3 linked regions of the Alligator mississippiensis genome follow. The protein of the gene in region 1 interacts with the protein of each later gene in a biochemical or structural test. Links are inferred from orthologs where the notes say so. Each region holds a gene or a part of one and is shown in the gene's direction. Other genes may lie near its edges. The genes, in order: BCL2L1, PMAIP1 and HRK.

Evidence for each region.
Region 2: the proteins of BCL2L1 (region 1) and PMAIP1 interact in a biophysical measurement, tested with the Homo sapiens proteins (3 studies listed by BioGRID and IntAct, with this or other methods). The link is inferred for Alligator mississippiensis from reciprocal best matches to the Homo sapiens genes BCL2L1 and PMAIP1.
Region 3: the proteins of BCL2L1 (region 1) and HRK interact in a biophysical measurement, tested with the Homo sapiens proteins (3 studies listed by BioGRID and IntAct, with this or other methods). The link is inferred for Alligator mississippiensis from reciprocal best matches to the Homo sapiens genes BCL2L1 and HRK.

Annotation. Positions count from the first base shown.
Region 1 is NC_081832.1:1,641,079-1,652,283, forward strand, and holds the start of BCL2L1 (bcl-2-like protein 1), read left to right. Parts: upstream 1-6,163; 5' UTR 6,164-6,250; intron 6,251-7,159; 5' UTR 7,160-7,229; intron 7,230-8,284; exon of another isoform or gene 8,285-8,369; intron 8,370-8,397; exon of another isoform or gene 8,398-8,618; intron 8,619-8,897; 5' UTR 8,898-9,001; coding exon 9,002-9,553; intron 9,554-11,205. UniProt on the Homo sapiens protein: Potent inhibitor of cell death. Inhibits activation of caspases. Appears to regulate cell death by blocking the voltage-dependent anion channel (VDAC) by binding to it and preventing the release of the caspase activator, CYC1, from the mitochondrial membrane.
Region 2 is NC_081826.1:281,968,031-281,978,572, reverse strand, and holds PMAIP1 (phorbol-12-myristate-13-acetate-induced protein 1), read left to right. Parts: upstream 1-5,208; 5' UTR 5,209-5,315; coding exon 5,316-5,361; intron 5,362-5,687; coding exon 5,688-5,800; 3' UTR 5,801-8,282; downstream 8,283-10,542. UniProt on the Homo sapiens protein: Promotes activation of caspases and apoptosis. Promotes mitochondrial membrane changes and efflux of apoptogenic proteins from the mitochondria. Contributes to p53/TP53-dependent apoptosis after radiation exposure. Promotes proteasomal degradation of MCL1.
Region 3 is NC_081833.1:23,411,236-23,421,769, forward strand, and holds the start of HRK (activator of apoptosis harakiri), read left to right. Parts: upstream 1-6,409; 5' UTR 6,410-6,635; coding exon 6,636-6,950; 3' UTR 6,951-6,997; intron 6,998-10,534. UniProt on the Homo sapiens protein: Promotes apoptosis.

The DNA of each region.
Region 1 (11,205 bases):
TAACATCTGCATACCAATCTCTTAAGAAATGAGATCTTCAGCTCTGGGTAGATACCGGATCAAATCCCAGCAAATTCTGGAGATCTACCAGCCCCTGTCAACATAAATTAGAAGTTCAGGGAGTGGCCAGAGAGAGGAACGAGTGAGCAGGAACAGAATTTCCCACAAACATACTATGCCCCAGTAATAGCTCTTCCAGTCAGTCTCCCCTCCCAACAACCCAAAAATAGATAGCCCTGACATCTCATGCTCTGTAAATCAAGTTTTATACTACACGAAGTCAGGGTGTTCTAAAAATAGATATTCAAGCCCCAAACATATCATTTTAGCCAGTCTAGCCAATACACTGTCACAGAAATAGGCATTTCCTTGGGTTTTCAAAGCCTTCAGTGGCCAATGATATCAGTGCTATTTATACACCATTTACCCGAGAAACTTGGTCCAGGTAAAGCAGACGTCCGCTAGCTGTCACAACTCCAGACCCTTGTCTAAGGGATACGAAGCAGCCGCGCTAGCGCAGGGCTACACGACCCGGTGAGATTACGCGCCTGTCAATAAAGGCACGCCTGTCAACGTGGCTCCCTCGTTTTACATTTAGGAGGCATCACAACATGCGCAGGCGGGGGGCAGGCAGACGGCAGGCGCGGCGCTATTAAGCCGATTGTAAGCAACTTTGAGAAGCTGAAGAACTCTCGCTCGCCACGTTTCCCGGCTCCTCGTTTCGCTAGGAAACATTAATCTCTTGGCATTAAAGCACGCCCTCACAGAGACACGCGATTTTTGACAGAGTTTGGATTCCAAGCACGGCTGTTTTATTGTTTAAAACGACGTGCTCGCGTGGCGCAGTCGCAACAGCCGTGGGCCTTTTAACGAAACCTGTAGCCGAAGGGGGGGAAAGGCGGCGAGCAGATAACCCGTGCAGTACAGCGGGTTCGCACAAGCGTAGGGCTGGAAGGGCCCTCGCGAGATCGTCGGGTCCGGGGCAGGAAGGGCTGTGGGGGGTCAAACAACCCCACGCGGCGCGCGCCCCATCTCCCAGGTTGCTGCCCGCGAGCCTATTGCGGAGTCTGGGCACACGAACCGTGAAGACGTTTTTCCTTGTATCCAGTGCGAAACCTCCTCCCAGGGCTCGCGGCGAGCAGCGGGCACTGCCAACGGCGCCACCCGCACCCCCAAACCCGGCAGAGCCCAGAGACAGCCCCCCAGAGGGGCGAAAGACGCGTCACTGTCGGGGTGACCGAGGGGCGCAGGTCACCCCGGGAGGCCTGGCCTCTGGACGATGCCCGGCTCGGGCAACATTTCCACCGGGCCTTCCTTTTGGCGGCGTCTCGTCGTTTCTTTGCCTCGGGCTGAAAATGGCAAGCGCCCATCCTTGGTCGCCGCTCTCTCGGGGGCGCGGGAGACCGCTCGCTGCCAGCCGTTTCTGCGACGCCTCAACGCAAACGGCCCCCCGGTGTTTTTCGGCCCGGTTTCCCAGGTGCGACACGAACCAGGCCTCAAGTGCTGAGTTCCAGAAGCGGGGGGAGGCGGGGTGTTTAAGGGACTCCTGGAGCTACCATTTATGGGGCAAAGCGCCGGCCAACAGCCCCTGCGAGCGCCTGTGCAGGGAGCGGGGCGCCCTGCGGACCCCGCGCCCCAGGGGACGCTCGGGGGCTTCGCGCGACCCCTTTTCGCCCCTCCTGGCTCGCCGTCGCCCCCTCTCGGCTCGCTGTAGACTCCTCCGCGGCGAGCCCGGCCCGGGGACGCGGCCCCTCCCGCCGCCGCCGCCGAGCACCGGCAACCCCCCACGGGAGACATCAAGTGTGACCCGGTTTCGCAGCCCTCCCGCCCGGCTCACCTCAGGCCCGCGGCCGCGCCGCTCACCGCGCTCTCTCGCTGCCGCCACCGCCGCCGTTAACGACTTTGAAACATGGCTCCCTCGTTCAAACCCACCAATCAGCGGAGCCCGGCCGCGCCGGTTGGGCCAACCGCCGCCGGGGGGCGGGGAGAGGCCCGGGCCCCCGGATGAAAACAACCCGCCCCCTCCGCTCTCCCCGGAAGCCAGCCGCGAGCGCTGAGGCTGCTGGGATATGTAGTGTGCCTGACTCGAGGCGGCCTGCAGGGAGAGGAGCGGAGACACTACAACTCCCAGAAGGCACCACCAAGCGGAGGAAAAGGAGCGTTCACTAATGGCAGCAGCTGGCCAATCAGTGCTGAGAGGGGGCGGGGCTTCGCTTCCCACCAGCTTTCGGGGGGGGGGGGGGAGGTATTGAAGATGCTGGACTAGTCCATTGTGCAGCTGATGGGGGCGGGGTGCGGACAGACCACAGGGCTTCGCATCTTTTGTGTCCTGTTATTTCCTTCCCGTCCCTTATTTTGTGGGTGTGACATGCGCGCACCTACAGACCCGGGGGAAGGGGCTGCTGCCAGCCCCCCTTGCCTCCCCCACTGCGAGGTGGTATGTTCCCCCTCTCCAGGGTGCAAAGTTGCACGCACCCCAGTTACCCCCCAGCCCCTGGGGTCTCTCCTCCCAGTGCCTCCATGCACAGGTAACTGCATTGCACGCACTGGCAAGCAATCTCCAGGGCAGGCATCACCCCAGGGGCTAGCAAAACCCCACCACGTTGAGCAGCTTTTTTTGACACTCCAAGAACATGAAGCCAGAGCCTTTCAGGATGCTAAAGCTGGGGTGCAGACTCACCCGCACAAGAAAACCTCAGTCTATTCAACAAGAGCACTGGAGAGAAAGAGACTGGCTAGCTGTCACTTGGTACCTCGAACCCTACAGAAGCAGTGAGCATATGCAGCGGCCTTGCGGGCCCCTAGCAATGGGATAAAGTTCAAGGCTTCTCTCCCTGTTTGCCATGACTCAGCAAGAATTGGTTTGGCAAAAATAAAGTGTTTTTCAAGGCTGGTGGAGTCACAAATGAACCATATCCCCAGAGGCAGTGCAATGCAGTCCCACAACTCATTATCCCAATGCAGGAGCTGCAAACACGCACCATGCTTTGGTCAAACTGATTTACTAGCAGTAGCTCAAAGTTGCAGAAAGTAGGTTCAGATTGCACATTGGGAGAAACTTCTTCACAGTTGGGAGAAAGACTGTGGAGTGGACTAACTGCCTAGGAAGGTCTTGCAGAATCTCCATCCTTGGAGGCTTTCAAGAGGCTGGAGAAGCTATGCCAGGAGTGCGCTCTAAAGAGCAAATTTGGAAGACCAGGAACCCTGGTTGGGGTATCGCGAGAAGGGCTCTGCAGTCCAGAGCATATGGGTACTGGAGAAGACCAGCGAGCCAAGAGCCTCTTCCCTTCCACTTCGGTTCAGCTATTTGTATACAGGTGTCTACTGGGGAAGGGAGGAGGCTCTCTGTTCGCTAGCAAGAGAATGAAGCAGAACTCCAGAACGGGCTTAGCGATAAAAATTGATAGAGCTGGAATAAGTTTATGGAGAAGACGGGGTCATGGAAAGGAGAGTTCTAGCTGCAACATGTGTGGGGTTTGCTGTCCCCAGTTGCTGAGCAGAGTGGATGGGGGTGTTTTCTCCAGGCTTCTGGGCTTTGCTGGTTGCCACACAGGGCCAGGAAGGATTATTTTTCCTTTCCCCCCTGTCCTGTGTTGGGCAGGGACTGCCTTCCTCAGCCACACTGGATGCTGGCTACAGTAGTAGGACACTGGCAGTGCATTACCTGTGGCAAATTACAGTTTGGGGGCAATATACCTTGTAGTTTTGTGACAGGGTTGTTTGTGTAATTTTAAGAACAAGCTAGGCAAGCACTTGTCTAGGTTGGGTCAGAAAGAGATGATCCTGCCTTGAGCAGTAGACGACATCCTGAGGACCTTTCCAATCTATTTTTCTAGGATTCCATGACTTGCACAGAAACATTTGGGGGAAAAGTGCCCAACAAGATTCTTTGCATTGCCACACTGCCCAAGAGCAGAGACAGAACAACAGCATTTCAAAGCTTCACCCTGAAATTGCTGCTTAAAAGGAGCATTAGTATCGTGCTTTCAGGGCAATTTGACAAGTCATTCTGGAGACTCACATTCCTCCTAACCACTAAATATTCATTCCTACCCAGCTGTAAGGTATACTTTTAAGATACTTAAAGGTAAAAAACAAACAAACAAACAACCCAAAACAAAACCATTGCCAATGATTTAATTTTTAAGACTATTTTAAGGACTCAGTTCTCCCCACCTTGCAGCTCCCAGTCTGATTTATTCCTGTGTAGAGCAGTTGAAAACAGTAGCAAATCAGAACAGTTACTCAATCACAAGATTACACAGTCACACACAAAAGCCAAAACAAAGCCAGATGGCTCAATTATAACAACTGCATTAATGTCCTGTTTTGCAGGCAGCAAGAATTTCAGATGGTAGCGCACAATCACCACTGCGAATTTACAGAATCACAGAACTCAAATGGTAAATTAAGGACCATTACTTAATGGCTTGCTTTATTCTTCTAATTCTTGTTTGGAAGACTAGGTGCTACACCAGTTAAAACAGATCATACTTCATGCCAAATGGGAAGTATGCATTCACAACAAAAAAAAAGCACAAAAAGTCACAAATAGTAACTTTTGAGCATGACTGTTCTTATATTGTTCTTTATATAATATACTAAGAATATACCTGTTCTCTAAAGCAGCATTTTCAAAATATAGGGCAAGCACCCTGAAAAGTTCCTGGAAGGCAGGACCAGAGTTTAACAGAAAGCAAACAAACAAGCAAAATATGACTCGACAGCACTGAACAAAAACTGTCAGCTAAAGGTGATGGTAAGGAGAGAAGTGGCCAGCTTTGCTGTAATGCAGCATGGACCCCAGAAGTTTGGGAAATGCTGCTCTACAGAAGTCCTACCGTAGTGGACACCAGTGCAGGTCTATAAGGGATGCCACTCAATGGACTCCATGAGGATGAAGAACCCCCGATCTTGGTTACACCCGTCTCCATCACCTCTCTCTAGCCTACAGCAACACAGTACACCTGGCAGGAAGCCATCAGCTCTTAGGAACTCCAGCCAGCAAAGAACAGGTTTCTCCTTGTCATGAAGGCCTATGTGAACACACCCATCCTGCCCTGCCCTTTCTGCATTGGCTTCCCGGGGTAGAGCAGTGCCAGGCTCACCATCACAGCTGTTCAACAGTGGAGTTGTTAGCTGTGTGCTCTAGGTGATCTTTAGATGTGCCACAACTCCTCTGCTTGGAGTTTCTCACCAATAGGGTCCAGCACACTCATGCAGGACACAGCACTCCCCCAGGACCCAACTGAAGGGTAGGCAGATGTGTCCAGAACCAAGGCCCACTCCAAGCCCCCTGTCCTTCTCCCCATTTGTGTCTACAGTGACCACTGACTCTCCCTATGCCTGAAGGAGGATATTGGTACCCAAAAGCTTACAAAGAACATTTTTTCCAGCTATTTAGTTGTTCTAAGGAAAGATATCGCATGTACCCAAAGAACTTTGTTTTTCAGTCCCCATACAGACACCATGCAGCTTACACACTAGAAACCAAAGCAGTCCTACCCTGCCACTGCATTGCACACGCTTCACCCTGGGGCCAGGGGGAGGAGAGAAAAGCAGAGCAGCCCATGACACACGTTGCTCAGAGAATGCCAAAGTGAGCAGGGCACCAGGGCAAATGCACAGCACCTTGATGCACCCTGGGGTAAGGCCAGAAAGGGGATGGGTACAGATTATGGTGGGGTGGGGGGAGGGGGGGTCCTGCAGCTCCCTGCCACCCAGGCCAGGAAGGGGATGGGTGAAGATTATGGTGGTCTGGGGGGGGGGGGGGGGGGGGGGAGGGCAGTTCTGCAGCCTCCTGAGCCTGACCGAGCGTCTCTACCCCTCCCTTTCTCCCCTCCCCACCCAACAGCATAAGAAGGACGCGGGCCCTTTAACACCAACCCGCCCATTCCCCAGTGCAGCCGAGAGGGGGCGCCAAAGCCCTACGCTCTGACGTAGCCAACGTCCTGCACATGCTCACTGGGTCAACAACGCCCCCACCCCCTTCTTGCGCATGCGCCACTACTCACCCTCCTACCCCGCCCCGGAGTGGCGCATGCGCCCTCGGGGCCCCAAGCCGGCACGGCCCTCGCGCATGCGCACTCCCCTCCCTCAGCCGCTGAGGAGAGCGGCTGCCGCTGAACGGGCGATGGAGACGGCGGCTGGGGGCCGCTGAGGCGGCTCGGGGCCCTGAGGGGCGGCCGTAGCGCCCGCTTCCGCCGGGGGAGGGAAGGGGTAGGGGCTGGGCCCTTCAACGGCCTTTCAGGTGAGGGCGGCGTGACGGACACGGAGGGCAGCCAATGGGAGCGCGCCGTCCGCGGGTCCCCGCCCCCCCGGCCGCCTCCCTGCCTGGGATTGGTGCGGAGGCGGGGCACAGTAGTTCCCCAGCCACGCGAACGGGGATGTCAACCCCAGCAGGACCCCCTGGCTGGTTGCCATGGAGACTGGGGGGGGCGCCCCCTGGGCACCCACACCAGGCCACGGTGCCCTCTCCTTCCAGCGTGTGGCGGCCGTGGGCTGTCCTCGTAGCCTCCGCTCCGGGACAAGTCTGCGCCACGGGCGGCTCACGAAACCCCCGACTCACCCTCCTGGGTGGGCAGCGGAGGGCGCCGCGAAACCCCGGCTCGCGCAATGCGAAAGGGCCCCACAGCGCGGGCGCTTCGCACCGTCTTCGGACACCTGAACGTCGCTCCACGAAGAGCGGACTGGAGCCCGACTCCCTTGGAGGTCGCGTCTCCGCCTGCACCCGAGGGACGCCGCAGAGCCCCAGGGAAACTCCGCCGTCTCGGTCCCCGGTGGGAACGTCCCAGCAGGGGAAGCGAGAGCAAGGCTGAGCTGGCACGGTTTCAGCGGGTGTTGGGAAATCCCACCTGGGCTGACAGAGGTCGAAAAATCTCTCAAGATTCCCCTATACGAATAGCCGAACCAACTGCATGGTCTTTTAAGGCAAGCCTTAGTTTTGTATCTGCCACCCTGGCGCTGCGGTGAGGAGCCTTCCAGGGGTGCCCTAGAGAGGGAGAAGCGCTGGCATGTATTGAGTTCCTCCCAACATCTGCCCTTTAGCAGAGATGAGTAGGGAGGGACTTGGAGAGGGTGGGGGCGGGGCTTGTGCCTTGGGGGCGGGGAAGGGAGTAGGCTCTCTGTGTCAAATTACTAATTTGAAGTGTCTCTGCAGCTGGTCCAGGAGGCGCAGCCTGCTGAGATTTCCCAGCCCAGAGTTTTCTCCCTGCAGCTCCTCTCTGGGGGTGAGTACAGAAACACACATGCTCCTTCCCCAGCACGAATCCAGAGAGCCTGTGTGTCTGTCCCTGGTGCACCCGGAAAGGGCGAGGTGGGGCCACCCGGCGTGTCCTCTGCCCCCAGGCCTGAGCATGGGGTGGAAATGGGGCAGAGAGCAGCTGCTTCCAGTGCAAACACAGAAGTGAGGACAATCCTGTAAACAAGGAGTGCTGAGATGCAGGCAAAGCCAGTGCAGAGGCTGCCGGTCCAGTGCATGCTCTGTGGGGAGGGAGCTCTTAGCTCTGAAACAGTAAGGTTTGTTAATAATCTGGTTCCAGAAAAATGACTGCTTAGAATAACATTAGGGGTAAGTCACTTCTCCACTACAGAGAGTGTCTGTGGTGTACTGGGAAAAGAACGTATCTAGGACACACTTCCTCAGGGGCATTTCTGCTCCTCTCTTATGCCAGCGTAAGTCTCTGGAATGCTGGGGTTTCCCTCAAAATGCTGCTGGGCGTTAGATCTTGTCTTTCCTTATCTGTGAGTGTACATGTTCCTCCTCCTACTGACCTATTAACTATGTAGGTAAGTAATACTCTGTAGATTAATAGGCTTCTAGTTTTTCCCAACTTCTTAGGAGCACTACAGCTCTTTTGTGTTCCTTCCTTTGCCACTGTTCTTGAGAGGAGAGGTTTGGGGAGTGAGCCTGTAGCTCCTGGGATCCCACTGAAATGCAAGGGGTCCATTGTAACACTTCCCGAGGTCTGGCCAGAGGAACTGCGTACCTTCAGCACACCTGGGAGCTGGTGAAACTTGACCCGGGGCTAATCCTTTCCAGAAGGGAAAATGGAAAATGATGCTTTAAGCTTCAAACAAACTCCCTTGTGCTGGCTGCCAGCTGCTATTGTTTCAGAGCCTCCTTCATTGTTGGGAAGAGCTTTATGATAGGTGTAAGAGGGGGCCTCATTGTTCTTTTAATGTGCCATTGTTGGTCAATAGAGCACAAGCACATATTTTGAAGGCCTCACCCAGTGCTGGTCCCTTTAAAAAATTCAGGAAGAGCTTTGATCCTCTATGGGAGGCGGAGACCGAGGGGGCGTGAGGCTGAGAGGGAAGGAGGGAGGGCCTTTTGCTTCTCTGCTGCAGAGCTGCAGCACTCAATCAAGGTAATGGAGGAATAGGCAGAGGGTGAGATCCTGGGGCTTCAGGGCCTCGCTGTGCTTTCGTGTTTCCAGCATGCAGCATGGCATGATCACTTCAGCCAGAGCTGCTTTTCCTTCTGAGGCTTTGCCTGAGACAAGGCAGAGCTGGAGGCTGGAGACTGAGCCTCCTAGACCTTTAGCAGAGGGGGTAGACCCCCTAGACCCTATGTGGAGCTACATCACAAAGGAGCTCTCAAGCTGTACCTGGACCATGTAAGGCGGCTGAATGGGATGTGTTGCGCATGCATGCGACTTGCAGTCGTTTGTAAAGCAAATCCAAGGGGGCTTAGCCTAGTTGTTGCTGAAATGGATGTTTTGCTGCCAGTTTTCTGGGCGACTAAATCCTGAAGCCTGAGGTGTAGCTTCAAGGATGCTTGCTTTCTCTGAGCAGTAAGAAGCTGCTGTTGTTAATGCTACAAGTGGAAGTAAAATGCTGCATTGCTAATATGTTCTTGCCTCTTTTTCTTCCCTGCTCTCTAATTGTCTGCTCAGAGGTCAGATGCTTGCACAGATCCTGGAGAAAAGGAGAGTCTGGACTGGGTAAGCACACTGGTGTTCTGGACCATGGACTCGATGAGAATCTCCCTAGTGTGAAAATGTCGAGCAGCAACCGGGAATTAGTGATTGACTTTATATCCTACAAGCTGTCACAGCGAGGACACAGCTGGAGTCAGCTTGAGGGGCAGGATGAGACCAGGACTGAGTTTGCAGGAGAGGAGGACATGGCAAGTGTCCCGAACGGGAGTCCGTCCTGGCATCCCGCTGCCAGCCACGTAGTGAATGGGGCTGCTGGACACAGGAACAACCTGGAAGCCCAGGAGAGTGTTCCGGCGGCTGAAGTGCGGCAGGCGCTAAGGGAGGCGGGAGACGAGTTTGAGCTGAGGTACCGCAGGGCCTTCAGTGACCTCACATCCCAGCTCCACATCACCCCTGGCACAGCATACCAGAGCTTCGAGCAGGTGGTGAATGAACTGTTCCGGGATGGAGTGAACTGGGGGCGCATCGTGGCCTTTTTCTCCTTCGGAGGGGCCTTGTGTGTGGAGAGCGTCGACAAGGAAATGCAGGTGCTGGTTGGACGTATTGTCTCGTGGATGACCACCTACCTGACCGACCACCTCGACCCCTGGATCCAGGAGAACGGCGGTTGGGTAAGAAGCTCCTTCTCCAAGGGAGAGCTCCCCATTCTCCTCTGCCTTGCTAACAGCATTGCACATCCTAGCCCTTGTCCCTGGTGCCCAGGGTGGAACAACTGGTGCAGGGCCTTTCCCATTGTGTTCTTTGCTATGAAGGGTCACTCCATTGTGGTGGAGCAAGGGGATGCTACCCAGGCTTGCCCTCTGGTGGGCCCTTTTCATCCCGCTGTCTTGCCTATCTCCTTGGCCATTCTGTACAAAGGCCTGTTTCCCAGAGCCTTGTGCACCTACAATCCAGGCTTTGTCTGAAACAGAAGGCCCATCTCTTAGGTCTGACCTGGAGTGTCCGTGACCCAGCCCAGGGCTGAGCCAATTCTTTGTTCAGTTGGGACCTCTTAGTGCTAGGCCTGGACTGTTTGGTGTGGTGAGGTCTGAGGCAATGGAAACGGGAATCCCTGGTCTGCTTCATTTGCAAGTGAAGTGTGCTAGAGATTGTCCTGCTTCCTGTGGGCCTCTGCATTACCTGGCAGCCTGGCCCTAGATCAGCAGAGCGTTGCAAGGTAGCACTGAAGTGCAGAGTCAGTGCAAACAGCCTGCTGCTGCCCGCTGGATCCTGAGCAGTGTACGCAGGGTGCTGTCCACAGGCTTGTATGAATGTTACTGCGTGTTCCAGAGACATGCTCTGGTAGCGTCTGGGCTGCCTGAGTTGTGGAAGTGCTTAGGCCTGTGAGATTTTGCTGTGGAATTTTGCCAGGGGGAGGTATTATGGTCTGCGGATGATCTTGCTCACTATTTACTCCCACGTCCCTGTGATGTTGCCTGTATTAGTATTTGCCGAGAAGGGAGGACACAGCGCCAGCTCCTGGCATTTAAATAGAGGAATATCACACCTTTGCACATTGGTGAGCCTGTGGCAGTGGGGAAAAGCTGCATTCACCTTAACACCTCTGTAGCCATAACCACTAATCCCTCCCCAAAGCTCTGGGGGAGCATGGGGACTAGTTCCTTTCAGCCCAGCCTCGCATTCTGGCTGCTAGTGGCACAGGTGACTTGGAAGGGCCTCTTGGAGCTTGTGGAAAGCCAGTGTTAGGTCCAGCACCAGGGTGGAGGCAGCAGGGAGCCTGAGCACCCAGGGCCAGGAATGCCTGGAATGTGGTTGTCCTGGGGCCGCTGCCTGGGGCGTGGCTGCCTGAACAGACTGGATTTTTTTCCAGTTACAAGCAGCCCCCTTGTTTTGTGGATGGCGCTGGGGTTCTTCCCTGCTTTGCAACCCCCATGCAAGCAATACCCCCCACCAGCTTTGGCTCTTAATGCCAGAGATTAGTCCTAGAACCGAGAGCTTGAGTAGAGGTTTGCGAGTCCATGTGGCTGCTGCTGGTGAGGATTGGGTTGTAGCCTGGAGACACTGGAGATAATGCAGTCTGATTTTTTTGTAAGTGAACTCCCTGGGGATTTAGATTAAATCACTGATGGAAAATCACTGGTCCCTCTTGTTGGGAATGTAATACCCTTTCCTCCACCCCCCTCTCCCCTTTCCCCCAACCTAGTATCATTGCTAAGGCTCTTTCTTCTTGTCTGAGCACAGATTCCGTGTTTGGAGCAAATATTTGTTTAGCAGATTGCACGAGGGGCAGGATTCTTGTGTGCCTGACACACCCACTGGTTCC
Region 2 (10,542 bases), on another chromosome or scaffold:
GTCCACACATGGAGCGATAATGCCAGACAGTGACTAATAGATTTGGAAGTTGATATTTGATGCCATATGAAAAAACAAAGAAGAATGGGTTTATTGGACAAAAGTGAGGAAGGAACATTCATGTCTGCAGCACTAATGATTACTGCATGACTGTTTCAAAAGGACATCAGACTGGAGGTACCAATGGTAGGTACCTGCTAAAATGTACTAAGGAAATGACCCTGCCCCAAAGAGAGGTTTTTATATTTTGTAAAAATGGGAGGAGTTAGAGACTCCATGGACTCAATTCCGTTTCTCTGTACATGACTAAATTGTAGCCACAGAAGCTATCCCAGTGCTGTTCATCCATTTTAGCCGATCAATATGAAATGCAAAATGCAGTGAGCCAGCTTCAAGAGGAGCACAGGAAAGGAGCCTGGGCAATGCTTGAACCTAGCCTGGTGGTGAGATCATTTTGCTAGAAAGCAAGAGATATGATTTCAACCCCTTTTCAGGTGAGGGGGCCTAGCACCCAGGTCTCTCCTCCCTCATTATGTGCCCTAGCCATTGGGAAGAGGGATGGGAGGGCAACCTGCTCCTCCTGCTCTTTCATTTTCAGGACGCACACACAGGACAATCTTATTTTGCCACAAGGGAAGCAGACTCCCAAAGTGTGTGTAAATGCCAAAAACTGCAGTGAGGTGGCTAGACATGCCCTTCGGGTAAGTGAAGTGACACAGGATTCAGTCTGACAACTTTTCTATTGTCAATCAACTTTATTGTGAACATACTCAGACACCATAATCACGGGTGCCAGTATAAAATCAGACTGACAGACAGACAATGAAACAAGAGCCAGCCCTCTAAATCCAAGACAGATAATCCACCCAGTGAAATTTCATTTTCAAAGGAGGGTTAAATAAAAGATCTTTCTAGTTATAATCCTTAGCCCCCCCCCCTTGGTCTGCTTCTTGTCTTGCATTAAAGTCCCAGAAGCTATTTCTGAATATTGGTAAAGGCAGTCCTATCAGCACAGAGTGAACTTCTATGCCGTGACGAGCAGACCTCAGATGGAGGTGGGAAGGGGAAACTGAACACAAGGGGTGTTTTTCCATGCATTTCCAATGTGGCACCGGGCAGTTTTAATTAGGAAGCCATGCCAATTAAATGCCCCCCACCTGTCATGTGTATCAGCAGCACAGTGCATCCCCGTGCTGAGAAAATGGCAGTGTTGTGTTTTTAATTAAAGCACATCGAATGTGTTTTATTGCACCACCACCATTTCCTCAGCACGGTGATGTGGGGCACCACATGATACACATAATGTACAAGGCTGTCAGAGCGTGTCAATGGACACGTTCAAGAAGTGTTTGGATGCTTATCTTGCTGGGGGTCATTTGACCCCGGCTGAGTTCCTGCCCTTTGGGCAGTGGGCTGGACCTGATGATCTCACAAGGTTCCCTCCAGCCCTAATGTCTATGAAATCTATGAAGTTTACGTGCTCCAGCAGACTCAATTAATCGAGTCTGCTCCAATGTGCTGGATTTCCAGTGCGCTGGAGCATGCTCCCCACATGTGAGTAAGTGCCCAAGGAGACAACTGTCCACTGTCGTGGTTGCACCTGAGCAGGGTTCTAAACAGTATCTCCACGGAGCTACAGAGTGGGCGTAATAGCCCATATACCTGCCAGCCTACTAGGGCTCCACATGGAGTGGTTTGCCAATTTCGGACATGGTAAGGGTCCTGCTGCTATGCACATATTCCAGTTTCAACCTCCATCTTTTTAAAAGAACCTAATTGTCCTTGGAATCCCCCATGTGGTCAGCTCATCTCCACTCCCTCCTTTCCCCACACCTCCAGTCCAGGGCAATATGGACGGTCTTCTTCCTGGTGCCTTTTGAAAGGCAGCTGGAACTATGAAAGAACCAAGAGTGTTCCTGAGATGGAAATACAATAACTGAGATCTTGATCTTCCCGAGGCTGCTGGAATATTTGCCATCAAGTTCAGTAGGGAAGGATTTTACCTGATGTGTGCATTATGTAGAAAAGGCAAGAAGGCCTCAAACCCGAGCCAGCACAAATAGCCACATTTAAAACATCTCAAGGCATTTGGTATCATAGGATCAGATGACATGGAGTAGGGCTTATCACTTCTTGTCATGGAAATATACTCTAGCTTATTTCTTCCGTTAGAGCTTGCGTGTTGATGGGAGTGGCTGTTATTTTCTCTGCTACTTTATTTCAGTGACAAATTTATCTGTTGTTATTTGGTGTGTCTGCTCCTTCCACCCTGTTTCTTCTGTTAATCTGTATTCATTTCCTTCTGGGTATTTAGCCTAAAAACAAATGTTCTTCTTGCACACTTCTACACTCGACTGACTAATTTTCCAGGCACAATAATCATAAAGAAGGGAAATTAGTGACTCACACAGACAGACACAGTTTTATCCTAAAATTGTGCAAGAGTAAAAGGATTGTCACAGTGACCTTATGGCTTCATCCAAATCATCATACCCTAATTTCAAAACATCAAAATGATTAAAAAAGGAACAGAATCCTGAAATCACAGGTTGTGCTTACCGCTAAGGAATACAAGACAGAATATATTTCGGGTGAGATCTGCACATTTCCCTGGATGCAAATCTGGAGTGTCAGTTTTCTACAAAAGTTCTGTTGGGGCTAGAATTGGAAAAAACTCAGCTGATGATGAGAAATGTGTGCTGTTTGCTTTGTTTTGGGGGTTTTTTTTGCCCAGCACAATCCAAGAAAGCTGAATCTGTGCCTGTACAGATCGCTGATGAACTGGGCCTCTCTGCAGATGCAGTTCCAACCATCTAGACCTGGTATTGGGATCAGGCCCACGGGGTGTAAACTATCTGTGGTAGTGGTTGTTGGAGTTGGACAGCAGCAACCTCACTGCTATCTCAAAAATAAATAATGTGGATTTTCTGTATCTCCACCGTCTGATACAAGTCTTGCCATAATAGCATATATATGCAAATGTGAAAATGCTCAGACCGACTCATCCAATTCCTCCCCACACTCTTACCCAGCACTAGCAATCAGGCTGTAGGGCACAATAAGCTACTGAACAGACTTAAACATTGCCCCCCCTCCTCCATCCTTCTAGTTAACAATTTCTGCCAGGGCACTAGACTACCTAGCTACAGAGTAAGTGGCCACTGAGCCAAATATGGCTCTTAGTACTCAACATGTTTTAGTTACAAAATTCACTCCGTTACTACAACTCAGACCCTGAATGAAAGATTTCACCTACTAATTAAAGCAGGGGTGGGCAATTGTTTTGGGCAGAGGGCCGCTTACTGAGTTTCAGCAAGCCATCAAGGGCCGCATGACAGGCAGCCCAGGGCAGATTAATATTAATTTTCTAAATTTTTTAGGGGCCCCGTGGGCCAGATAGAATGGCCTGGCAGGCCTCATCTGGGCCCTGGGCCACATTTTGCCCACCCCTGAATTAAAGACTAGGTGAAATCTGTCTGGGCTGAATGAAGTTTCCCCAGCTGTCCAGCTTCAGCCACTTTTATACTTTCCCATCTACAGAACCAGCTTCTCCTGAGGTTTGGACAGAGCCCAGTAGAGGCTCATGGCATAGTGCAAAGTCCATCCCTTCTCCCTGATGAAGGGGGCAGGAAGATGGAGTTTCACTAGGAATGGATTTGGTCCCTAATTTCTAATCAAAATAATAGTAATGTATAACAACAACTACTGTATGTAACTCCACAAGGCAAGCCAAATGGCCCCTCCTCCCTGGTCTTGCACAATGCCTTAATCTCTCTTAGGATCGCAGAAAATGAGGGTTGGAAGGGACCTCAGGAGGTCACATCTAGTTCAACCCCCTGCTCAAAGCAGGACTGTCCCCAAATAGATCATCCCAGCCAAGGCTTTGCCTCACCGTGTGTTAAAAACCTCCAAGGATGGAAAGTCCACCACCTCTCTGGGTAACCTTGGCTTAGGCCCTGTCCAAACAACAGGGAAAATCACGTGTGCAGGTGGACAAAGGGAGAAGTGAGGAACGCTGGGGAAATGCTGCAGCTCAGGGCGGAGCTGGACAGCAGCCCCCAGAGGCTTCACGGTAAAGCAGTAGCAACGGAGGGGGTGGAACATGAGCCCCAGACTCGGTCTCCTGTGAAATAAACTGGTGCTGTCTCTTCACCACGGCTCAGGCCTCTGTGGCACCGCTCTGCCACTGTAAGTGCCCTCCCTTGCAGTCTTTTCAGGGAGGCAGAGAACTGAGCGAGCATCCAGACATGCACCCCTCCTGCCCCGCGGCCGGGCACCGCTCTGCAGACTCAGCACTGAGGCAGAGAAGGAAGGGGCAGGCGGCCGCGCCAGGGCCTGCGTGGATGGCCCTCGCCCTCCAGCTGCTCTCTGGTCAAGGCCCAAGGAAAGACAACAACCCTGCCTGGGTCTGTCTGTGCCACTGTGCACAGACACCCACCCACCGAACTCACGCCCCCTAAACCACACAAACACACAGCCCCAGTGTACACCCCCCTGCACATGCGTTCACACGTGTACACTGCCCCATGCACATGAGTACACACCTCCTGCATGCACGCACACATATACACACGTGTATACACCCGCACACATTCACACATGTACACAGTGTACACACTCCCTGCATACACACAGTGTACACACCCCTCGCACTTGCACACGTGTACAGGGCCCTCGCACATGAATAGTGTACACACCCCCTGTGTGCGCGCCCCTGTACACACATGCACACACAGTGTATACACACATGTACACACCCCTGGCATGGAAATACACGGTGTACACCCCCTGTACACACACGCAGTGTACACACATACATACACACCCCTCGCACATGAACAGTGTACACACCCCCTGTGCACACGCACAAATGTAAGCGCAGTATACACCCCCTGTACACACATGCATGCACAGTGTATACACACATGTACACACCCCTCGCACGGAAACACATGGTGTACACCCCCTGTACACACACGCAGTGTACACACACACATACGCACCCCTCGCACATGAACACACAGTGTACACACCCCCTGCATACACACACGCGTGCACTGTACACCCCCCCCCCCCACACACACACACACACACACACACAGGTGCGGGCGGGCGGGCGGTCCCGGGGCAGGACCGGGCTTGCCCGGGCTCCCCCCGGGGGCGGCAGCGCGGATTGGGCGGCGGCGCCGGCGCTTTCCCTACCTCACTGCCGGGAATCCCCGCCGCCGCCGCCGCCTCTTATCGCTGCGCGCGCCGCGCCACGGGCCAGAGCGGCAGAGACAGCGACACGCGAGCCCCGCGCCCCGCGCCTAGCCATGATGCCCGGCCGCACCTGCCGCAAGGCTGCGCCGCAGCCCTCAGGTACCGAGCGCCCGGGACCCGGGGACCGCGCGGCGGGGCGAGGCGAGGACGCGGGGCTTCAGGACGGCAGCTCAGGCCGCCTGGTGCAGCAGGGACCGCTCTGGGGTGGCAGGGCTTCACTGGGTTAAGGCGGCTCTGGCCTTGGGGGGGGGGCTCTTGTTCTTCTCCTCTAGTCAAAAACCCGAGGGGAAACTAAGCCAGTGTTTTCTGAGGGTGGCTTGTGCCCCCGAGGGAGGGGTGCTTTGGGTCTAGAAAGAGTGAGGAGCACTGGCACGAGGACGGGCGTGGGAGTCACTGCTCATGACATTTGGTCGTCTATTTTACAGAGCGGGAAGCAGTGAGAGAGTGCGCGCTGCAGCTGCGCCGGATAGGAGACCAATGGCACCTGCACCAGAAGATTTTGAGTCTCATTGCAAAACTTTTCCGCCCTGGAACGTGAAAGCTGCCCAGGATGATGGCAAGGAGAAGCAGCAGGAAGAAACCCAAAGATTTGGAAGAATTCGTCTTTAGAAAGCTGGAAGAAGAAACTTCAATGAGACCAGGGAGATTAAGCTCTGTGTATTGTTTGTTGCTGCCTGCGGAAAGGCCGCTGACTTCTCCGGAGAGCTCTGCAGAAGCAGTGGCCAATATGGGGGGAAAGGAAAAAAAAAAAAATCGCATATTACAGTTGCCGTTACTGAAGCGAGCGGTGCCTGGAAATGGCCAAGACACGCTTGTGTTTTCATCAGTGTTTCCTGATTTCTTGTGTTGCTGCTGGCTACGCTGTATCCTGCAGCCATGGTCTGTTGCTGAGCTTGTGTCACCTCAAGCAAGAAGCAGGACGCTAGTGACTTCTATTCATCAGACTGGGCTGTACAGTGAAGAACCAGTTCCTCGGCTCTTGACTACCCATTTTCTAACAAGTAAAATTTGTGCACAAATCTGGTGTTGGGACTGTTTCTTTTTTTTTTGGCTGAAGTACGTATACGTTCCCACTGAATTGTTACTTGTTATAATATATTGCTTGAATGACTAAATTTGTAATTCTGTTATTATTATTGTTGCTGTTATCATAGTCTGCTGTACGGTTGGTGTGCATGTTCGAGGTACATCCCCACGGCTATGGAATGAGTGTTCTGTGAATTTTAACAGCATGATTTTTTGCCTGGCCGTGCAGAAGAGGGCTGTTTAAATCATTCTGTAAAGAATGCGTTAAAATAGGTCCAAGATAGTACATGCTTCAGAGCACAATGACATGCTTTGCTCAGACAGTAAATAGGCACCTTATATTTAGTGTATCACTGAATAAGAAAGTGAATGTTTAAGTGTGTATTAGTAAAAATGAGATTATGGATGTATGTTTGGTGGAAGGATTCCTTCACAGGAGGGATACTTGAGCAGAATAAGCTGTGATTGTATTATTTATTTAAAATATATATGTTTACTCTCAACTTGGAAAGAAAGTTGAAACCAAAACAATAATTTTTTCTGGAAAATAACTTTTTTCCCAAAGAAAAAAACTACCTCTAAGAGAAATTGTCTATGCAAATGAATGATAATGATATAGGAGTTACACAGTAGCCGGTTTGGGCTTCTAAGCAGCTTTGATTGAAGATAAAGTAGAAGGAAAAACTCAGCTTTTATTCACTAGCACCCTCATTTCTCTTCTTTAGTGATGGAGGGGCTGTCATTTTTTCCTCAGACATGGGACTGTATTACTAAGGTGCTTGTCTGAAAAAAAACCCAAAACTTTACTATGTTCACCTCAGTGGAATGTTTTGTTTTGCACTTTTGGAAATTAGGAAGTAACTTTTCTTTTCTGTTTAAATGTTATGATCCAAAATACATTCATATAGGATATTTGGAAAATGCTCATAATGCACAAAATATTGGAGACTGCCTGGATTTGACATTCAGAGATGTCAAAGTGTCTGCTCTTGGCTGAAGGGAGCAGTACGAAGAAAAGGAACTAGAATTCACTGTCTTGCTTCCCCTATTCTGCTCAGCTTCTGATGCGAATGACACTTGTGCTGTGCATCCTTTGATTGCCAGATCCGGGAATTCACTACTCACATCTAGCTCAGGCTGCCTTGGCTCTCACATGCAAGTAACTCCTCTCTAAATCACTGATGAGTTTGACCCATGATTGTTCATGAAAGTTTGTTTTTGTGAAGTTTTCCATTACAAACTCTTTCTAGTCTAGTACATCAGGGCCAACTCAACTCTCCAGTGATCCAATTTACTCATCTAATAGCATTTTTTTAGATCCTAAAGCTTTAATTCCTGGTAGGCTAGTTTTTAGCTTTCAGAATAACTGAATTCAAAAGAAAAACTGCCGTTGAAGCTCTAGATTCACATTAAGGGGTTCAGTCTTTGGTAAAACTCCAGCAAAGTCCACAATTGTTATGCCCGACTGGGAATTTCAAGAAATTTAGCATTAGAATTAATAGGTCAAATACTCTGAGATTGTATTTAGCATATAGTTACATGACATACCGAACAATCTTTCAAATGGTCTCTATCAATACCTTCAGGTATTAAAGAGGAGGAAAAGTGTATAAAGCTATGGGAACTGATTTTGGATATGTTATGGGAATTTGTCAGCTAGGAGAACGCACTTATTTCTTACTTAACTTTGTAATGACGGGTTATTTCTCATGAAATGCTGCCATGTTTACTTGCTGACGGTTTAGTTGTTATATGGTTTACAGTGAGCTCAGGACAATTAGTTCAAATAAGTAATCTCTGTATGAGATCTATATATTCCCTACACGGAGTCCTTGTGTTATTTTTGCTGATGTTGTGTCCTACAACTGCATCCACATGAGATTGATTTTTCTCAAGTCATGCTGTGAGTTAGCAAGATGTCTTATTGTCTGACTCTCAGATATTATGTCTACCAACTTCTTGCAAGGCTAATAAATTTGATGTATTTATAACGCAAAAAACATTGTGTTGTTGTAATTCTATTTTCTGAACCATTTGAATGAGCAATCAGGTGCAAACATCCCTCTTACTAGGAAATGAAGGGTATGCTTCATGTTATGTAATACGTTTCAGTAGATTTGCAAATATATTGGATTTTATTTCTGATCCCTTGCCCATAAGCTATAAGCTTAAAGAATTATCTGAATTCCAAAGGAGAAACCAGTTTTAAAACTGGTTAGTGTGTCACCCCCACTCTTGGCTGGATTGAATCAAAACTGCTCGGCTAGGTGTCAGATGCCCTACCATGCATGTTAAGGGGTAAATTGTCTTTAGCTTGGATGGTAAGCAGTTGTACATTACAACCAAAAGGATCTGTCTGTCTAATAATCTTCCATAGCTGAGAGTTGTCAGAATAAGAAATACAACCATCCTACAATTAACACTGTGACATAGATTTGTACTGGGGACAGAAACACATACACAGGTATGAGGCAGCTGGGAGGAAGCTCAGGTTTGGGCTCCTGCCAAAGTGTGAAAGGGGTCACAAACAGGATGGAGATGGCTAAATCAGGTTGTTCATCATGAGGGTGCAGTGAGGCCCCCCGGGTACTTTAATAACAAAGGAATACCAAATGGGTTCCCCCCCGCCCTCCCCCAAATCCTGACTCCAGGTATGTTCACATACTAAGAAGGGCCCTGGGTAATCAGCTCGTCTCTCATTTATGTCCTGGGTCTGGAGCTGATGTGGTAAGGGGACCAGAACTAGTGCTTGAGTGGAAGGAGGCACTTAAAAGGATTCCCCCTCCTCAAAAGCTGCTGGTTCTGGCAGGCCAGGGTCTCTGTGTGGGCATGGTTACCTGCCAGTGAGTAAGCACTACAGGAGGGGAGCGCAATTATTTGGGCCCGTAGCCATATAGGGAGTTTTGCTGAATTGTTGAGAGCCGGATCAGCACCCCCCTCTCCCTCCCCCCCCCCCCCCGCCAACAACTCACATAAACTCCCTATATGGGATGGGGCCACGGGCAGGCAGGGAGCAGTGTTTAGGAGTGAGAGGATAGGCAAGGGAGGCCAGGATCATGAGGCAGGGTCACTGGGCACTGACAGTGTGGGGTTGGGGCCAGGGCCAGGACCAGAGCCCAGGAAAGTCACAATCTGCTGCCCACATGCCCCTGCGACAGGCATGAGCTCTGCAGGCAGGGGCACGCAGGGAGCAGAATGTGGCTATGCCCCAGCATGGTCCCTGCACCGTTACTGCCCCAGGATCCTGGACCCAGCTTCAACACAGCTCCCTGACTGCCCACAGCACCAGAGCATCCACCTGCCCATGTGGGTCCTGGGTGGTCTTCATGGAGACCCTGGTATTGCAGGGTGGTGACAACATGGGGCCAGCCTACTGTGGGGCAGAGCCACAATGTGCTCCCACATATCCCTGCCACAGAACCGGGACTTTGCCCTGGCCCCAGCCCCCCACTGTTACCACCTCACAATCCCGGAGCCACATAGGCAATGTATTCTGGTATGTGAATGCACTGGGGCCACAGGGGGAGAGCCGTGTCCCAGGACAGGATCTTGAGGTGGCGATAGCATGGGGATGGGGTCAGGGCCAGGGCTGGGGCAGAGCCACAATCCGTTCCCTGCATGCCCCTGCCTGCAGAACTTATGCCCAACCCAGGGGCATGCAGACAGCAGATCATAACTCTGCCCTGGCTCTGGCCCCATGTTGTCACCACCCCAAGATCCCCCAGCCCATCTCACTCCCAGGCACCGCTTCCCGCTAGCTCATGGCCCCATCCCAGCCACCTGGCTGAATGCCCTGCCCACATGGGTCCCATCCCTGGCAGCGGGTGCAGAGAAGATGGGCTGAGGTGCCTGGGCAGTGGGGCTGGGTCTGACAGTGGCAGCCAGAAGAAGCCACCACTGCTGCCAGGGCTGCTGGGAAATAGAGTCCAGCCACCATGCTGCCCCAGCCCTGATGCACACCTGGGCACATGCCATGGCCTGGGCTGACCCTCATGGCTGGGCTGGGCTGGGCAGGACTGAGGGCCCTGCTGCAGGCCAGACAGAATCCCTTGGTGGGCCAGATCTGGCTCACAGGCTGTATTTTGCACCCCCTCCCCATGCTAGAGTCTTTGAGCCCAGTAGCAGCACTACTCTGATCCAGAGAAGGCCACAATGGAGTGCCTTACTACTGGCCTAATGCCAGCCAGGAGTATCAGAGAAGTGCTCTGACTACAACACTGCCTCGACAGGAAGCAATTTGCAATACCAGACCAA
Region 3 (10,534 bases), on another chromosome or scaffold:
CCGCCGCCGCCCGCTCCCAATCGCGGCCCGGGCAGGAAACGGCCGCCGCGGCCTCTCGGTTCCGCCGCACCAAGGTTCCTACGCGGCCCGGCCCGGCCCCGCGCGGGGTGCAGGCTGGGAGCCCGCGGGGCCGAGAGGTCGGTGCAGCCGGCCGGCAGGGCAGGGCGGGGCGGGGCTGAGCAGCGCGGGCGCGCGGCCCGACACGTCCCGCGCCGGCACTGCGGGCGGACCCGCGCGCCGCAGCCTCAGCACTTCGGGACAGAATGTCCTCTCGGAGCTCACACCCCTGCCCCCGCCCCCGCCTCTTGCTACCGCTTCCTCACTGCCCCAGCCCAGGGAAGCGTCAGTGCTTGCCCCTGCCTGCCTGCTGCAGGGGGCTAGGGGAGGGTTGGGCTCAGCTGGGACAAGGGCAGCGGTGCAGGCAGGGAAGGGAGACCCCTCCTGCCCATCGTCGCTGTCGCTGTCCCCTGCTGAGTCCTCTGCTGCACAGCCCCGCTGGAGCAGGCGGAAGCTTCCCCAGCCCCTGCGACAGCAGGCTGGGGAGGAGAGGGGACCTGCCTCCCAGCATGAAGGGGAAGGAGGGGGATCCCTCCCTGCTTTGGGGACTTTAAAAAAGCTCCCAGGGTGCGATCCAATTTGAAAGGGGGGGACAGCCACACCACTGCACCCCTCTGGATCTGCCCTGGCATGCAACATAATGCAGCTCTGATTGCGAATCAAGTAGTAAAACTATAAGCGTATGACATTGGTTCATCAGGGAATGATGGTGGATAAAACCATAAGCAAATAGTTGCTTTCAAACAGGGCAATTGTATAAGCCCTGTCGCTTAAAAATAAGGGACAGAAATTGCTTCTAGTACTCAGTGCTACAGGAAGTTAGGACAGGAAGCTCTCTGTCCTGCATTTCAGGACAGGGCCAGGAAAGGGTCATACACTATTCAGTGTGTCATTCATACAAATAAATTAATTGTAACACTAGTAAGGCAATCAGTGCTATTCACAGAGAATCAGGTCAACCGGGTGCCTCTTTTACCATGTCCTAACTGTGGTGGCAAAGGACACTGCCTTCCTTCCTCATGTGACTGGCCAGAACTTTGTTCTTCATCCTACTGGGTACAGGTGAGACCACAGGGGTCAATCTATTTGTAACTCCCAGCCTTGATTATTGCAACTCATCACTGGAGTAAAGCCAGGGAGCCCCCATGAAAGTTCCAAATGGTACAAATGCAACAACTTGTACGTTTAGAAACACAGGAGATGGTAAATGCACCCCTTCAGTGTTGTGCAGTCTGAACTCTTCTTTCCCCTCCTACGCCAAGGTGTGAAGGATAGCTTAAAATCTCATATTCAAAATGTTTTGTGAGATGGTCTCCTGCTACCTTAGAAAAAAGCCTCTCCCCTCCATGACCCTTTAACATATCATAGAAATTAAAGTCTGCGAGGGACCTCAGAAGATCACTGAGTCCAACCCCTCTTTGCTGGGCAGGAATGGTGCTGAGATCAAATGATCCCAAGCAGGTGTCTGTCCAGTCTCCTCTTGAAGACTTCCAAAGTTGGGGACTGCACCACATCCTTGGGAAGACTATTCCTGATTCTGGCCACCCTTACCATAAACAAGTTCTTCCTTACATCCAACCTGAATCCATCCTCTAACAGTTTATGGCCATTGCTCCTTGTCCTCCCCTGGGGAGCCCTAGTGAACAGTTTTTCTCCCAGCTCCTGATATTCACCCTTTACATACTTTTAGATGGCCACCAAGTCCCCCCTCAGTCTTCTCTTCCTCTGGCTGAACAGTCCCATATCTCTTAGTCTTTCCTTATAAAGTTTGTCCTCCAAGCCCGTAAATCGTTCTTGTGGCCCTTCTCTGGACCCTTTCAAGATTCTCCACATCTTTTTTGAAGCGTGGCGCCCAGAACTGGATGCAATACTCCAGCTGGGGTCTCACCAGTGCTGAGTAGAGAGGAAGTATCACTTCCTTAGCACTGCTTGCAATGTGTCAGCTAATGCAACGTCTAGAACACAGTGGTGGTGGGAGAAAATATTATTGGGGGGGGGGGGGGGGCTGGAGGACCGCCCCTCCCTCGTGCAGGGCTGTTGCGGGGCCAGCATGTGGCAGAGGCACTGGGCATGGCTGTGCAGTGGCAGGGCATGGCAGTGGCACGTGGAGGAAGGGGAAGGAGGGGGATCCTCCTCCTTCCCCTTCCTCCGCAGTGGAGCTGCGTTTGGGGGGAGCTAAGCCCTGTTAGTCCCGGCCTTCTGCTGCCTATGCTAGAACATCTGTGTTTCCTCAGAGCAATCAATTTGCAGAGACTCCTGGAGGCAAGAAATAAAGACCTTCAGATATAATCAGGTTCAGAAATAACAGTAACCATCAGTATCATCAGTTACCTTCAAAGCTATGTTTACACTCCTTTCTTCATCTTTCCTTTGCTTGTTGCTCTCTCACATACACACACATAACACAATAGAGGCACCTATGTATGCCAATATACAACTATAAACTAATGTGGCTATTTATCCTGCAGGCTGGGAATGAAATGAAAGCAAGTTATTTCTATTGTTAGATACTTGGAAGGTGTTCAGATATTTTCATAGATTTCATAGACATTAGGGCTGGAAGGGACCTCAGGAGATCATTGAGTCCAGCCCCTCACCCCAGGGGCAGGAAGTCAGCTGGGGTCACAGGATCCCAGCAAGATAAATGTCCAAATGTCTCTTAAAGAAGTCCAGAGTATGTGCTTGCTCCACCTCTGGTGGCAGTCTGTTCCAGGCCTTGGGGGCTTGGACAGTAAAGAAGTTCTTCCTTATGCCCAGCCTGAAACGGTCTTGGAGGAGTTTGTGACCATTTGACCTTGTCATCCCATGGGGTGCTCTGGTGAACAGATGTTCCCCCAGATCCTGATGTACACCCCTTGTATACTTATAGGCAGCCACCAGGTCCCCCCTGAGCCTGCACTTTTCCAGGCTGAAGAGTCCCTTGGCTCTCAGTCTCTCATCATAAGGCCTGTTCTCCTGCCCTCTGATCATACGCATGGCTCTCCTCTGGTTATTATAGTAATGGGAGTTATATTGGTACCTAAATGGACAGAATAGCCACATGCCTAGTTCAGAGGAGCCAGTGCAATCCTTGAAATACTGGAATAATATGCTCTTTGTGGCCACAGCTACTAAGCAAATGAGGCTCAGATTTCTTACAAGCGATCTCAAGGGTAGCCTGCACATCATCATAATTGGGACAAATTCTATCCTGATGTAAACGAGTGCAGCTACATTGACTTTATTGGGCTTTTCCTCACTTACCTGTGGTTTTTTCCATTTACACACTACAGCAATCTACTTAGAGTACCATAAACATCTGAATAACTGGTCAGGCTACTAGGCCTGTGCAAAGCACTTAGTATTTGCTTTGGATTTGGCCGATTTGGGGCACAGTAATTTGAATCACTGTCCTGAATCGATTTAGCCAAATCTGATTTGGAGATTTGGCTGCTGCTGAATCAATCTAATCTCTGAATCACACAGGTCTCATCCCCCACCCACTTTCCCAGCCCCGTCCGCCCCAGCTCTTTGACAAAAAAAAACCCCACTCACCGGCTGCTGCCAGGCAGGAGGCGATCCCCACTGCCCCATGCCATGTGGGGGCTCTGCCAGAGCCCCCCGCCCTTGGCTCCCCACCTGGCCTAGCTCCCGGCATTTAAAAAAACAAAAACAACTCCCCCCCCCTCCACTCACTGGCTCCTGCCCAGCAGAAGTGATCCCCACTGCCCCACACTGCCCCACCATGAGCCCCCAGAAGCAAGCCCCAAGGCTGCTGCAAGAGCCGGTGAGTCAGGGGTTTTTTTTTTTTTTAAAGGCCTGGGAGCTGAGGCAGCCATGGGGGGTGCTGGGACAGCAGGCGGGGGGCAGAGGCGCTCAGGGGGGCTGGCGGAGCAGGCAGGGGATGGAGCCCGGCAGGGGTCCCCCATGGTTCCCTCCCCCTTCCTCCAACCTCCCCCCCCACCGGCTCCTATTTACCAGCTCCCAGTCCGGGTCGAGCTCCCTGCTGCAGCCAGCGGGGACTACGTGAATCGCCAAAGCTCTCCAAATCTTTTCCAAATAGATTTAGACCTTTTAATTGGTCCCCTGATTCAATTCGGATTTGGAGTTTCGGCCACCGAATCTCCTTCAAATCAAATCAGCACCTGAAGCTTCGCACAGCCCTACAGGCTACCATTGAAGTGAAAAACTTGTTCTCCCTGAATAATAAAAAATATATCTCTGGTCACTGATGGAACCTCCGATTCGAGGAGCAATTGAGGATCAAGGAAGCCCCCTAAAATGCTAATTTTATTGACAAAAGATGGACATCCCTCTCAAACACAGGGGCAGAAACCAACCAGGCCCTGCTCTGTAGGTTTCTTGCCAAACCAGTGGCTTCACCTTCACCCTCCCAGGGGCGGGGTAGGGGGTGTAGCCTCAGCTAGTTCCCTCTTATCCACTGCCTATAATGGCCAGGCAAGACTGAACCATTTAGGTACAAGGATAGTGGACACGGAGCTTTGCGTTTTTTCCGCACTGTTGGTATGTTTTTTATTCACAATGAATTTTCTTTTGAAGGAAACTGGTACCTGGTTCACACATAATTGGGCATAATGTCAAACAGATTTTGGACCTCGCTGCTTCATTTTACTAGCTGAGAGGCCACCTTTCAGGAAGAAGCCTGAGCATCCAAAAGCATATCAAGAATGTCACTGAACAAAATTATCTGTACTTCAGCCACAGATGTGGACATTATACCATCCAGGCACAAAACCACCTGGAAAGAAACGGCCAGGCCAGTCTAAATAGATTATCTTACCTAGAAAGAAGATAACATTTTCCTCATAGAAAAAAAATGCTTTACTCCATGCCAGGTAACAGCAGTTTGGAACAGTGGACTCAGTCCATCCTTGCCCAAGAAGATGCTATTATGGATGAGAATAGGGATGGTCACTCTACTGAGCACCTTGTCCTTCAAGTTTCTTTGAGCAAATGCATCTTTAATGAATGCTGTATTGAGCTATATCGAGCATGATTAACATTACCAAAGGCTAATTTCCTCTCTGCACAATAGAAATCCCTATCATGAAGGAGAGGATGCAATTGTTGACCAGGAACATCGTCATGGGAGAAATCCTCACTGAAATATGGGCCAAGTGTCTAACATTTTGCTTTGGGAAATACAGCTGCTAGGAGCACCGTATATCTGACCATTGCCATGTCCTCTGAAATCATGGGGAAACAACCCAAACAATAAGAAATCCTTGATAAACCTCGGGGACTGATCTCAAATTACACCTGAAGTGCACTTGCTTTAACTTTTAAAACAAAATAAAAATTGTCTTTAAACATTTTTAAACATTTGTTAACATTTGTAAAACAATCATTCTTCACTGGGAATTACAGTAACTCTTTGTGAAGTTGTGTTTAAAAACGTGCAGAGCACTGCTACAAACAAGCCTCTGTCTTTCTCTAGCTCTCCCTGGAGCGGCTGTGCCAGTAAATGCTGTGGCTCCCGTTTGTTCGCATTGGTCAACTGCAGTTGCCGCTGCTTAGTTCTGCTCGATTGGTATCTTAAGCAATTTCTGGTTTTTCTTCTTTGCTGCAGGTTGCTGTCTGTGCATTCTGAAAAACCTAATTAAAAGATAATGAACCAAAAGAACCCAACCAACTCCAGCCCCTTCCCTCCGACACTCGGGATAGATGCCACTTGGATCCCAAAAGGAAGAACTCTCTCAGGAGGAACTCAACTCACACAAACGCTTGATCCGATCTGTACCCCACCCCAATTTTTAGCACTCGGAAAGGCTTCTCTCAGGTTGAGTGCCCTCGTGGCGAATTTCAACCTGTAGCAGTTGTGCGCCCTGCAGTTTACAAACCCATAAGGACCAGAGATTTGCTGCGGAACAGGTAGCAGGAGAAGCGGACCTACAGCAAGGCAATTGCTTCTAGAGGCGGGGGGGGGGGAGAGAGAGATTTTGGCTAAAGATGAGCCCCACTTAGTTGCGTGCATGTGAAGCGGGCTCCGGCCCGCCTAAGGTCCAAGCGCCGAGTGGGCTTGCAGGAGGATGGAGTCCGCCCTCCGGCTGCACGGGGATTGAGCAGCACTTTCTTTAAAAAGTCCCGACCCCTGGGAACGCTGATCCTGCCCAGCAGCTCCGTGTTCAATGAGCTCAAGAAGCATTTGCTCCTTTCCTGTAGTCAGGGGCACGCTCCTAAGACAGGGCAGGACCAGCATCGGTGCGGACTTGGGTACGTGACGGGGCGGTGGCAGCACGGAGGTGAGCGCGGGGTCCGCGCGGAGCAACACCGCGACAGCACGTGTCCTGGGCGCCGCGTCCTGGCCGGCTCGGGGGTGCGGTGGGCCGGCGGGGCGGGGCCCCGGGCTCCTTCGCTCCTCCCTCCGCGCCCCGCGGCCCAGGTGCGGCGGCTGCGGCAGGTCCCGGGCCGGGGGCTGGAGCCGAAGCGGCGGCGCGGAAAGGGTTACGGCCGCCGCCCCGGCGGGGAAGGATGATGTAACCCCCCCGCCCGCCTCCCCTCCCCTCCCCTCCCCTCCCCGCCGCCGCCTCGTCCCTCCCCGCCGCCCGCACAGATCCGCGCCGCGCCGGGCCAGCCGCATGCCTGCCGCCGCGCGGGGCCCGGCCGGGCCGGCCGCCGACATGTGCCCGTGCGCCCTGCGCCGCGCGCCCCCGCCCGCCCTGCCGCCCTGCGCCCCCGCCCCCGCCCGGCCCGCCGAGCCGGCCCCCGGGCCGCAGCGCGTGGCCGCCCGCCTCAAGCGCCTGGGCGACGAGCTGCACGAGCGCACGGCGCGGCGCGGGGCGCGGCGCGGGAAGGCGCCGGCCGCCGGCGGCCTCGCCACCTGCCTCTGCCTGCTCTGCGCCCTGGCGCAGGCGGCCGCGCTGGCCTGGCTGGTCCGCAGGAGGAGCCCCTAGGCGCCGCGGCTCGGGCGGGAGCGGAGACGGAGCGGGACGGGCCACAGGTACGGACGGGACGGGTGGGGGGTGCTGCGGGCGGGCGAGCGGCGCGGTCCAGCCCGGGGCTGCCCTGCCCTGCCCTGCTGTCCCGCACGTCTCGTGCCGCCCGGCTCTGCGCGCGGATCCTCGGCCCCCGCCCTGCCCCGGCCTCGGCGCCGAGAGCCCGGGCCGGGGACGCGTGTGCGCCCAGGATGGGGGAGTCTGTGTGCGAGTGTGTGTTTGAATGTGAACAAGTGTATGAGTGTGTGTTTGAATGTGAGTGTGTGTGTGTGTATCAGTGTGTTTGAATGTGTATCAGTGTGTGTGTGCATGTCTGAATGTGTATCAGTGTGTGTGTGTGTGTGCATGTCTGAATGTGTATCAGTGTGTGTGTGTGTGTATATTTGTGTGTACGAGCGTGTCTGAATGTGTATGAGTGCGAGTGTGTGTATGAGTGGATTTGTGTGTGTGTGAGTGTGTGTATAAGTGGGAATGCATACAGGGGGTCGGACCTCATGATCTGTTTAGGTCCCTTCCGACCCTAAGCACTATGATATTATGATAGTGTGAGTGTGTATGAGTGTGTGTGTGTGTGAGTGCATGTGACAGCTCAGTGCCACTGACAGAGGCTGCCCTGCCAAGTACGAAGTGTTTCCTCTGCCATGTATTTTTTCACAGTTTGCATCAGTTTTTTGCAAGAGCCAAAAACCAAAACAAAAAAAGAGACTGATGAATGCGGTAGAGCTGCTGCCCGGAGCCAAGAGATAGTGTAAAGTCCATTAAATTGCCTCAGAGAACATAATGGGCTTGAGCCCGGTGTCCAACTGCGTTCCACAGAGATTTCCCTTGGGTGGCACCTCGCCTACTGGGAAGTCCCCAAGGATGGAGAGCGCACCCACCCCTGGCCGGCCACTTGCCATGCCCCAGGGCAGCCTTATTGCCTGCTGCCTGCAGCCCTTGTGCAGTGAAGAAACTTCACCTGCTTCATCTCATCTCCTAGGCAACCTGCCGCCTGGCACCGGGTCAGGGGAGCAGTGCTGCTGCCTGCCCCTGGCTTAGGCGTGCGAGTGCGGGCAAGTCCCTTGGCTGGGACTCACTGGTTCATTGCACTCACTGCTGTAGCAATGGCTTGAAAGGTCCTGCCAATAGCTCACGTAGATGTGCTTTCCAGGAACTGTTCGCCTGTGCAGCACTAGCTCTCCTCTTCCTTGGGCTGGGCTGGTCCTGTCTGCACCCGCTGCCGCTTCCTAGGGCACATACATGCGACTCTGTGGCTTCTAAAGCAGCTTTCAGGCACTTACAACAGCAACTAATGCTGTGGCATAGGGGCACTCCTAAACTTAATGCCCTGGGGAGACTGATGGGTGAATGATCTCTCCTGACTGTAGAAGCATTGTGCAGTCTGAGCATGACAGCTCAGTTCCATCAGTTTCACACACTGTAAATCCCAGAGGGTTGCTGCGCGCCTTATTTTGCTGCCGCCTCCTGGGGTTTAAATAGACAGTGCTTACCCAGTACCAAGAACACTGATGCTTTACTAGAAAAAGTAATTCTGAGGGGTCCCCTCCTGCTGTTTTAGGGATCAACTGATTTCTCACATGAAGGAACTTTAGACTTCTGGGATTAAACCCAGTTATTTCTTCTTCCAAAATGTAGAGATTGTCCCTATAAACCAAACCCAGAGAGGTAGAAACCTATCCTGCTGGTAGGACACCACTTTTTCTACAGTCTATCTAGTTTCAATGTTCTAGCTCCTGTGATCGTTGTTATGCTTTCTTAGATATTGTTCTTTATTAAAGAAGCCATCACTAATTATTTTAACATTCAAATGCCAAGTGCCACATGGCTCCTTGGTTGTGACCCATTTCCCTAGCAAACAAAGGAACCTAGTTTCTATTCCTCTCTATGCTGGACTGCAGATATTTTAAATTGTCATCTATATTTTGTGCTTGCATCAGCTGAGTTTAAGACGGTTTTTGCTAAAAATGATCTGCAGTGACAAAGGCAAAGCAATTGGCCATTTAAATTATCTCAGTCATTTTTCAGAGGTAATATTGTATTGAAAGGACAGGAAAAAATTCTCACCTTTTAGATGTTTCACACACACACACACACACACACACACACACACACACACACACACACACACACACACACACACACACACACACTTTTTATATAGCACAGTTCCAGAGGAGAGGGTATTATCTGCCTGAAGGAGTTTACAATTTAAGGCCCCAGTTCCAAGTAGCACGTAAACATACACTTAAAACTGTACATATCAAGGAAAGCACTGTGGTGAATATTTAATTTCTAGCGTAACGGGTTTCAACTTTTTTTCATTCGCGGGCCCCTTTGGAAATTTCCAATGGAGGTGTGGATCCCTTTTGAATTGTAAGTTTGGATATTCACATACTTTTGATTGATCATAGTAATTTTTCATGGACCCCTTTGATAGTCTGTGGACCTGAAGGGGCCCATGGACTGCAAGTTGAAAACCACTGTTTTAGCATATGAGTAAGTTTCATTGACTTTAGTGGTGTAGGTTGTAGCCGTGTTGGTTCAAGGACATAGGCAGACAAGATTAGTTGGGTAAATCCGATATCTTTTATTAGACCAATTCAAATAGTTGGAAAAAATCTTCTTAGATTGACTTCAGTGCTACTTATTTAAGGGCTTAAAGTTAAGTATGTGACAAAGTAGTTTCCTAAATTGGTGCCTTAGTTAAGACAAGAAAAAAAGGGATGGCAGCTCAGGGAGGGGAAGGAAAAGGGACGAAAAATACCATTTTCACCCATTCTGTTGTCTGTTTGTGACTTTTCTGGTCAAATCAAGATTGTGCTTTTTAAGGCAGGATGCCTAGTACATTTTTTAGGTGTTTTGAAATAATAACTAAATATACAATCACTCAAAGAACTTCATCTACAGTGTTTTAAAATAGGGTTTAAAATATATGTGCACGTGTTTACATTGCTTGTACTTGCACACAGACACACACATACCACGTGTATATAACATTGTGTTTGTGTGTGTGGTGTACACTTATATCTGTCTGTAAGTTCAGTCAGTTCATGTCCAGAAGTCTTTCCCTGCAAGCAGAAGACTATACTTCCTAATTTAAGCAGTAAATTCCAAAATATTGGGACTGGTTTGTTCAGGAAGTTGTGAGGATGGTAAGTCACTGAATTCCTAGCTGCTGGATGAGAATGTGATCTAGTGGTTAGAGAACAGTAATGGGAGTCGGGAGTAGATCTGTGTGATCCCACCTCAGCCCCCATCCAGGGTTCAGTTTGAGATGAGGTTCATGAATGCAGAGGTGCAATTTTGTTTACAAGTGTTGGGAAATGAACCAATGTAGATTTGCTTGAATGTTTGAGTTCAACAAACTTGAATCTCTAGGGAACATTTGTCGCATCTCACTTGCCTTTTCCATTATAACAAGACGTAGCAGCTCCCTTTTTATGTTGCAGTGTGGGTTTGTGGAGTTGTTAAGAGTATGTAGATAATATAGTTGTTGTAAGAGGAAGCACTGGGCATGGGAAATATTCATCAGCCTCTTAATT